2 linked regions of the Canis lupus familiaris genome follow. The protein of the gene in region 1 purifies or fractionates together with the protein of each later gene. This does not show direct contact. Links are inferred from orthologs where the notes say so. Each region holds a gene or a part of one and is shown on either strand. Other genes may lie near its edges.

Region 1 (4,398 bases):
GAAATGACGTTTTCTTTTAAAATTGGAAGAGGCACAGTCACATAAGGAGGCTGCAAATATTCCTTGCACCTTCCCACTAAGGCTTTCAAAGAATTTTGCAAACTCAGTAAAATTCAAGCATCTGAAGTCTAAAATAAAAATTAAAAAAAAACCTCCAAATCTGTTTATCCTTATGGGTTTTCTATTGTTTGCTTCAGAAGTTATCTTGTGACTTACGAGCCAATACATTAAGTCTGTGATGTCCACTATCACGAGGAACTGGAGACTCAGTAAACACAGAAAGGCACTGCCTGACCTCGCAACTCCCATACTCAACCTTTTGTCACACCACTAAAGAAGACGAAATGAATTGCAATTTCGTTCTTTCCTCTCCTCAGCATAACGCGGAAATTCGTTATGAATTTCTACTTGATAAAGGCCGAGGCTTCCCCGCCCAACCCCCGCACCTGCCCCCTCGCGACACCCCCTGCCACAGCCACGCGGGCGAGGCGCGGAGACCAGCGGCCTCTGACCCGACCGGCCGCAAGGTGGCAGCACCGCCTCGCAGGCCCAACCGCACTCCCTCCGGCCCGGGGTGTGATCCACATCTCTCCAGCTCTTCCCTCTAAGGGTCCACGGCACATCGTGCACGGAAGCCTTTAGAATTAACCTCTAAGTAGACAGGCGCCCAGGTTTTAAACATACATATTACTTAATAACTGACTCATGGTAGTGAAGACCTCGGACGCCGGCCTTCTCGCCCCGGGAGGCGAGGGTGCCAGGCACATGCGCACTCCGCCGCACCCCACCTCCAGTTTCCGAGCGAGCCTCCCCGCCGCGCTGCGCGCTTCCCCACGTCACGGGACGGCCCCCTCCGGGCCACCTGCCGGCACGTCCCACCGAAGACCGGTTCCATGCCATGTAATCAAAGCCGATGGTGAAACCGTAAGCCGTTACCCTGCTCGTGATCACATCGAGACTTTCTCTACTTCACTCTTCCTTGTGGACCAGGAGTACTAGGTTGGCTCTGTATTCCCTCAAATCTCTTTTAAAAATATTTTTCAATTTTAAGTATCCCCCGCCTTGAAATGGTTTCCTCCACCAGCCGGGCCGGTGCGGCCGGAACCATTCCTCACTTCTGGTGGGGGGAGGCGCGGAAGTCGGGCGGCGGAAGAGGCAGGCGGCGGGAAGCGGCTTCAGGTTTTCCGCGAGCTCAGAGCCGCCTGGCTCGCGCGGTTTTCTCGGGTGTGCGGGCTGGGCTTGGGCCCGCTCGCTTGGCGGTGCAGAGGCGCGTTCAGCCAGCCCGTGCCCCCCCGCGGGGTGCGCGGATGGTACGGCCCGGCCAAGTCACGCGCCTCGGGCTGGGCGCCGCCGCCGCCGCCGCCGCCGCCGCCGCCGCCGCCGCCCCGGGTGAGTGGGGAGGTGGCCGGACCGAGCCTCCTGAGGGCAGGTGCGGGGCCTCGCGAGCGCAGGCGGGCGTCCCGGCGGGCTCCAGGAGCGCAGGGCGAGTCCTGTCAGGTGCGCCGCGGCCCGAGCGCCGCTCCGGCCCCGAGGCTCTCCTCGCCCGCGGGGGTCGGACGGAGTCCGTGCGGAGCCAGTCCCGGAGCGGCCGGCCGGCTCGTGCCGCCGTTGGAACCCGGGCTGGCGGGCTGCTTCGTGGAGGTCGAAGGGAGCCTGGTTCGGGGGGAGGGCTCGGGGAGGGGCGGGCGGCGGGCGGCGGGGGGCGAGGACCGGCCGGGAACGTGCCGGGGCCGAGGGCGCCCGGGTTGGCGGTGCGGCGCCCCCGGAGCGGCTGTGCGGAGCCGCTGACGGGGTGGGCGGCAGATTCCCGGACCGTAAAGGGCCGAGGACCGTGAGCTCGGTTCCGACCCGGCCGGCGTCGCTGATGGGTTCTCCTCGAGTGTTGCCCGGGGCCCGCGCGTCCGGCCGTGCCCCCGCTGCCCGGGGGAGGGTGCGTGTGCGGGTGTCGCCTCTCCCAGGCCGCCGTCCTCGGGAGGGGTAGGCCTACCTCAGCGCCCTCCAAGGCGGCTGGAAGACGCTTTCCTCTCCGGGTTGCTGGATATCGCTGGGCGCAGCCTTGTCACCTGGAATCCTTATTTACCCAAGGGTAGGCTCGCTGCGGATCGAGGCCCAGGTGAGCCTCAGCAGCCATGGGAGGAGGCACCCGGCACCCGCGGCGTCCACCGGGGTGGCTGTAGGGGCTCCTGTCACAGCGGAGAAAGCGCTGGAGGCCTTGGAGATTGAGGAACAGCACGTGGCTGTGTTTGCCCTGGTAGTGTCACCCGCGGGAACTTGGTAAACAGAAATCCAGGTGAAGGTGGAAATAGTAGAGCCACCAAGGTGTTGAACGGGTTTGAGCTGGAAGTAATTCCCTGTGGAACGTTCCACCTTGGACTTGCTGGGGTCCAGCTGCTGACTGAATGAGACTCCCCAGTGGAAGACTAGGTAAAGAAGCTGCAGGGGACCCTGCTGCTCCTTATTAGTTAAGAACCATTATGATGCTGTGTTTATTTTCAAGGTGGTTTTTGAGCCTCTGTGGTCCTATGAGAAGACCCCAGGAAGTGGAAATGAAATAGACCCAGGGCCATGGAAAGGGCCCTACTTTTTTGAGTTATTTGGATTCTTTCTTTGAGTTGAAGAGACTAGGGGAGGGGGACAGATTTCTGCTTCTTCCTTGGGTTCTGGAAAGCTCGTTGAGAACTGTTAGGTATATTCAAGCCAGTTTAGTTTCTTCGGTAAACATCTGGTTCAGATTGGAATTGGGGGTAAATAGAAAACTGACTACTTGGGACACCTGGGTTGGCTCAGCAGTTTGGTGCCTGCCTTCCGCCCAGGGCGTGTGATCCTGGAGACTCGGGATTGAGTCCCACATCGGGCTCCCTGCATGGAGCCTGCTTCTCCCTCTGCCTGTGTCTCTGCTTCTCTCTCTCTGTCGCTCATGAATAAATAGTCTTAAAAAAAAAAAGAAAAACTGACTTCCTGCCACTCAGAATTCTGATTCCACGTGTAGTGGTTAACCTGAGAGCTGGGGTTGGCCTTTGTGTCTCAGCTTTAGGTGATTCTCAGGATAGGAAGATACTTGACATCACCTGTCAGGTAAAGGCTGGAGACAGGTTTTCTTTCTGGATTTTCTGGAGCTAAGTGGTATCTCCTTGTCTTCTGCTGGCTGTCTGGGGCTCTTGTACTCCTGATCAGGACTGCTTTTTAAAAAAACCAAAACAAAACTACTAGTAAGAGTCTCCCATGTTGACCAGGGATGCTGGGAAGTAGCTTGGCAACGTCACCTCTGGTGTCTCCTTCCCATTGGAGGAGGAGAGAAACTTGTAGGCCTAGGATCTGAAGGATTTCATAGGCATGGTGTGGGTGCTGCCAAGGCAGTCCCCTTGTAACCAAGAATAGGAGGGATGAGAACCTTGTATTTGTAAATGTTTTGTATTTTTAAAAGACGTAAGTATATTTATATTTAGAGAAGTCCTTTATGAAATACGGTGTAGGCGTGCAAAAGTTCAGCTCAAAGTTTGGCTGCAATGTCAACTTGCTGTCAGCCACTGCTCAAAAGGCAAAAAGCCTACTAAGCCATTTAGAACCATGGGAATCTCTGGCTCTTTTTTTGTGATGTTCTCATTTTAAGTTGGCAGTAAGCTGCTTGATTGTTGCGTGTGTATCACCAAGTGCATTGCTTTTATGATCTGCTTAAATTTTTTTTTCCTTATCTAGAAAACTTCAAGCCTTAGAGCTGCAGTATGGCCACCGCTGCCCTGCCCGACTCATTTGGAAATGGCCTTGCCTGCTCTTGTCTAGGTGGAATGGTGCACGCGTGATTTTGCTGAATATAACGGTTAGTATGGATGCTCTACAAACTGGGTGAGCCTTAGCCAAGTGCTGCTTTCTTGCAGATATTTTGCTGGAAGGAACCTTATTTCTCTTTTATTCCTCTTAAAGGAAGATGTAGTCTCTTTCTCCAGGGTTAATGCCTCTGCCTTTATGTCTTAGTGCTTCTTCCTGTGGGATTCTTACTCCATTGATGGTCGCTTCACCCCCCTCTTCCATAATAGATTCTTTTTTTTTTTTTTTTTTTTAAGATTTTATTTATTCATGAGAGACACAGAGAAAGAGGTAGAGACACAGGCAGAGGGAGAAGCAGGCTTCCTGCAAGTAGCCTGATGGCAGAGTGGATCCCAGGACTCCGGGATCACTCCTTGGGCTGAAGGCAGATGCTCAATTGCTGAGCCACCCAGCCACCAATCTGTCCCCCATAATAGATTCTTAAAGCATCATTTTCTTTGATCTCACCAGAGCGAGCCTGATGGAACCTCTCTTTAAATTTGGCTTATTGTGGTCTCATGACACTAGGCTTTCAGACTCTGGTTCTCCCCCATGCTTATGCTCTTGAACCTCTCCTGGCCCTAGATATCCTCA
Region 2 (3,810 bases), on another chromosome or scaffold:
TAGAAGAGCAGAACAAAGCTGCCAGCAGCAGGAAGGAGATAAAGGTATAGACTTACGACTAGAATCTGTGGGCCAATCTCCTATTGTCTGTCTGCCCAATGACAACTCCGGAAATCGCCGGGATGGAGGGCCAATTTCAACAAAAAATTTGAGCATTTTCTCCATTCCATCCCACAGAGTCTCTGAATAGTCAAATTAGGTACTAACCCAGCTGTGCCCAGAGAGGATTATATGGATGTGTTTTGGCCAGCGTGTTCACTGACTGAGAGGTGCGTTTCTCTGAGAAGGCTTTAATGGGAGGGTGATCAACAGGCATGACAGTCGGGACCCAGGCCAGGTGGTAGGTTAACACTGCAGTCAGTAAGGCAGCAAAAAACCTTGGAGAAATGGAAGAAAATACAACCAGATGAGTCAATGCAGGAAGAGGCATGTCACATGCAGCACATACACTGGCCATGAAAGTTGCATACAAGGCTCCAGAGATTTGAAGCTTACTGGTTTTTATTGATCTGTTCTATCAGAAGCGTAAACTCCTTGAGAAAGCGCTGGCAGAGCTGGGTTTTTTCCAAAGTGCTGGACATCATGGTAAGCCACACAGGTTCAGCGATCCTTGGAACAGAATATAAATTCCAGATCGTTCCTCTATAGAAAAGGGAAGAGATACACAAAATTGTCACAAGTATCATCTTGGATAATCTCTATCTAAAGGAATAAAGAAGAAAACAATAATCTGAATCTATGTAGCCCTTAAGAGATTCAAGCAGTAATATAAATCAGGGATAGGCAAACTATGGTCCACAAGCCAAATTTGACCACCATCGTTTTTGCAAATGACACTTTACTGGAATGCTGTCATGCTCATTTGTTTACATATTATCTGTTGCTGCTTTTGCATGATGGCAAAGCTGAGTAGCTGTGACAGAGGCCCCTTATAGAAAAGGTACACTAACCCCCATATAAAATATTCATTTTTAAAGCAATTTATTTCACAATGCCTAGTTTCAAAATTTATGGCTGTTCTGATAATAAAGAAATGAAGAAAAAAAAAAGAAATGAAATGAAGAAAGAAAGTATATACTATATCAAAATGTGATCAAAGGCAACTCAACACTCCCAATTTCTAGTTAGAGCTTTAGTTCTCTAAATCAAAGCACTCTATTCATTTCAGATGGAAAAACTATATAAGTGGCTTCTCTTTCATATACTGAGTTTTTATATGGGCTAACAGAATCAAATTCTTAGAAGTATAAGCTATTAGCCAAACTGGCCAATGTAGCTCTATCACTTTATAGATTCAGAAACACGCTTAGAAAAATTAAGTTACTTGAGCAAGACATTGAACAATAAGGTCAGATGAGACTTCAGGTCTCCCAACACCTGGTGCCAAGGGCTCTATCGCAAGCTTCATGACTCACAAGTGTTTTTTCAAAAAGCACAGTAAGTCAGCTTAGGATCTCCACTACAGAACACATCCACTTCAAATAAAGATAGCTGAGACATATCCTGGACTTGACTTTCTAGCTGTGTGCCTAAATAAATTGAGATGCTAGAGATTTCCACCTTGGCCAAAAACATTTGCTGAGTTAGGCAGCAATGACAAGCTACAGTCAAGTCACATGGAACTGGGATTTATTTACTAAAACTCAGGTCTCCAATTGCTAACACCAAGTGAGGCTCATCCTGGCAGACGGGAAGGTCTATATCCCTGACATATACACTCTCTCCAGCCATGCTTTGGATAGCAGCCCTGATCCCAAGTTTCCACATCTTTAAAATGGGGCTAGTTAATAGTGCTTACTCCTAGGGTTTTGTGAAGATTACATGATATAATGAATAGGCTTGTAAGAGACCCCTAAATATTAGTTTTCTCCATTCATCCTGTTAAAAGCAATCAAAGACTGGATGACAGGCAGCAGCGTAGATTATGTGGCACTGAGAGACTTAAAACTTTTTGCTCCAGTTGGTCTCGATTTCCACCTTGAGGGAAGGAGTTGCTAAAGTGAGTAATAGTTGCCAGCCTCTCAATTCTTCTAAGTAATGGTCTCTGTGTATCCCTAGATCCAAGCTGCTGCTGCTGCTACTGTCATTTATAAAGTTACCCTATTTTTGCCAGATGCTGTCAATGTACCTAAATTCTCCCAGAGCTTCCATCAGACGGCTGACATAGAACTGGACACGGAGACTTGATTCTGCTATCTTCCTGCAGGAGATCATGGCCTTCATGGAAGAGAAAACAAACCAAATTACTCTCTGAGAAGAAATTGCTTTATAACTGTCTACTACTGAGCTTTTATTAATAAAATAATATAATCAAAACATTCAATGTGTAATGACGTAAGGCATCAGGAAGCAGTAATCGCCTCTCCAAAAATACTCTAGTATTTGATATCAACATGCCTAAGCATCTATTTCTGTTGCAGATGATTTAACTTCTCTAAAAAAGTGATCTGAAACATAAACCACGCGATGCTACCACCTTAAAGCCCCATAATCACTTCTCTATTTGACACAAGAATTATGTTCTTATTACCTTTTCAATTGCACTCTTCAACCTGTTCATGTGAGATTCAAACAGGGGAAAATGAGAAAAAAAGAAGTCTTGGAAATTCCTTTGTGCGTCTTCTTTCTCACACAGAGAAAAGATGATGCTTATGGCAATTTTCTTCCTCCGAACTATGGCCGGATTAGAACTGCAGGTTTCTTCAGCCAGGCTGAATGTCTCATCAGTAGACCTGCAGGAAAAATAAGTTTGAAAAGTTGCCATGCATCAACAAATCACATCGAGGATAAACTGTAATGCCAGGGGATGACATTCAGAAAGTGAATCCAGAGCACTCAGAGTCTTAACCAAGAGTCTGTCTGCTTCCAATTCATTCTCTTCTCTAATTCTCTGTCATGAAAAATGAAAACATCAGCTTACTACACGGTATTTTCCAACATGAAAAGAAACTTAAATAAAACCTAAAAGTAACTTTAAATGTCCTCCTGTTAGACTCTTAGTCTTTTTCCCTTGGATTATTTTACATCAGACTGGTAGTATTTAGAAATTGGGGGGAGACACATCTGGTCACTCAAAACACAGGCCCTTTGTTTTGGTTAATAGATACCAATAGATAGGAACATTTCACAGGAAATGCTCCTGTGGTATTATTATTCTGTTTAACCAATGCATCATGTTTGGAAATTTATTGGTGGTTGAGGCTTACTTTGCCAAGGCTATTAAAACCATTAGATGAAGTAACTCCAGTAAATGCTCAGATTAAGCCATGCAATCGATTAAGCTCTCTGGGAAATCGCCCAAGTAAAAAGACCTATCTCTCGTCTGGGTAGTCAAATTCTCAAAAAAAACCTTAAGATTCTTTTGAGAGATTCTGTTTCTATAATAAGAGAATCATGAAGTCAATAAATTATGAGTATATACTCAATTTGTCTTAAGGGGTAAGACACAAATACAGCCTAACCCTGTCTCTTACTTAACTATCCTGAAAAACCAAGGTTGACTACCATATAGCTACTAATAGCAAGAATGAAAATAATTTTTTTCTACAAAGATACCAAAAGCAAAGTGCATAATATATTGTACATGAGCACCTTGCCTGGCACACAGCAGGTATGCAATGAACTTTCTCTCTCACCAACTTTCACCATTTAGTCTCATATGTCTGGTACTATGAGATATGAGTATGGGATGGTACTACTTCCTGTTTTCTTTACCACAAATTACAACAAAACAGTTATTTATGCTTGGCAGGATTCAAGGCAGTTGGCCTCCACATTCTTGATCTTAAACTTATTTGGTGCTCTACTCAC

Evidence for each region.
Region 2: the proteins of FLCN (region 1) and FNIP2 purify together in Homo sapiens (affinity purification with western blotting; 5 studies listed by BioGRID and IntAct, with this or other methods). This does not show direct contact. The link is inferred for Canis lupus familiaris from reciprocal best matches to the Homo sapiens genes FLCN and FNIP2.

The regions. Positions count from the first base shown.
Region 1 is NC_049226.1:42,390,025-42,394,422, forward strand, and holds the start of FLCN (folliculin), read left to right. Parts: upstream 1-1,373; 5' UTR 1,374-1,389; intron 1,390-3,696; 5' UTR 3,697-3,817; intron 3,818-4,398. UniProt on the Homo sapiens protein: Multi-functional protein, involved in both the cellular response to amino acid availability and in the regulation of glycolysis.
Region 2 is NC_049236.1:56,322,114-56,325,923, reverse strand, and holds part of FNIP2 (folliculin-interacting protein 2), read right to left. Parts: intron 2,733-3,810; coding exon 2,531-2,732; intron 2,218-2,530; coding exon 2,129-2,217; intron 643-2,128; coding exon 496-642; intron 378-495; coding exon 208-377; intron 1-207.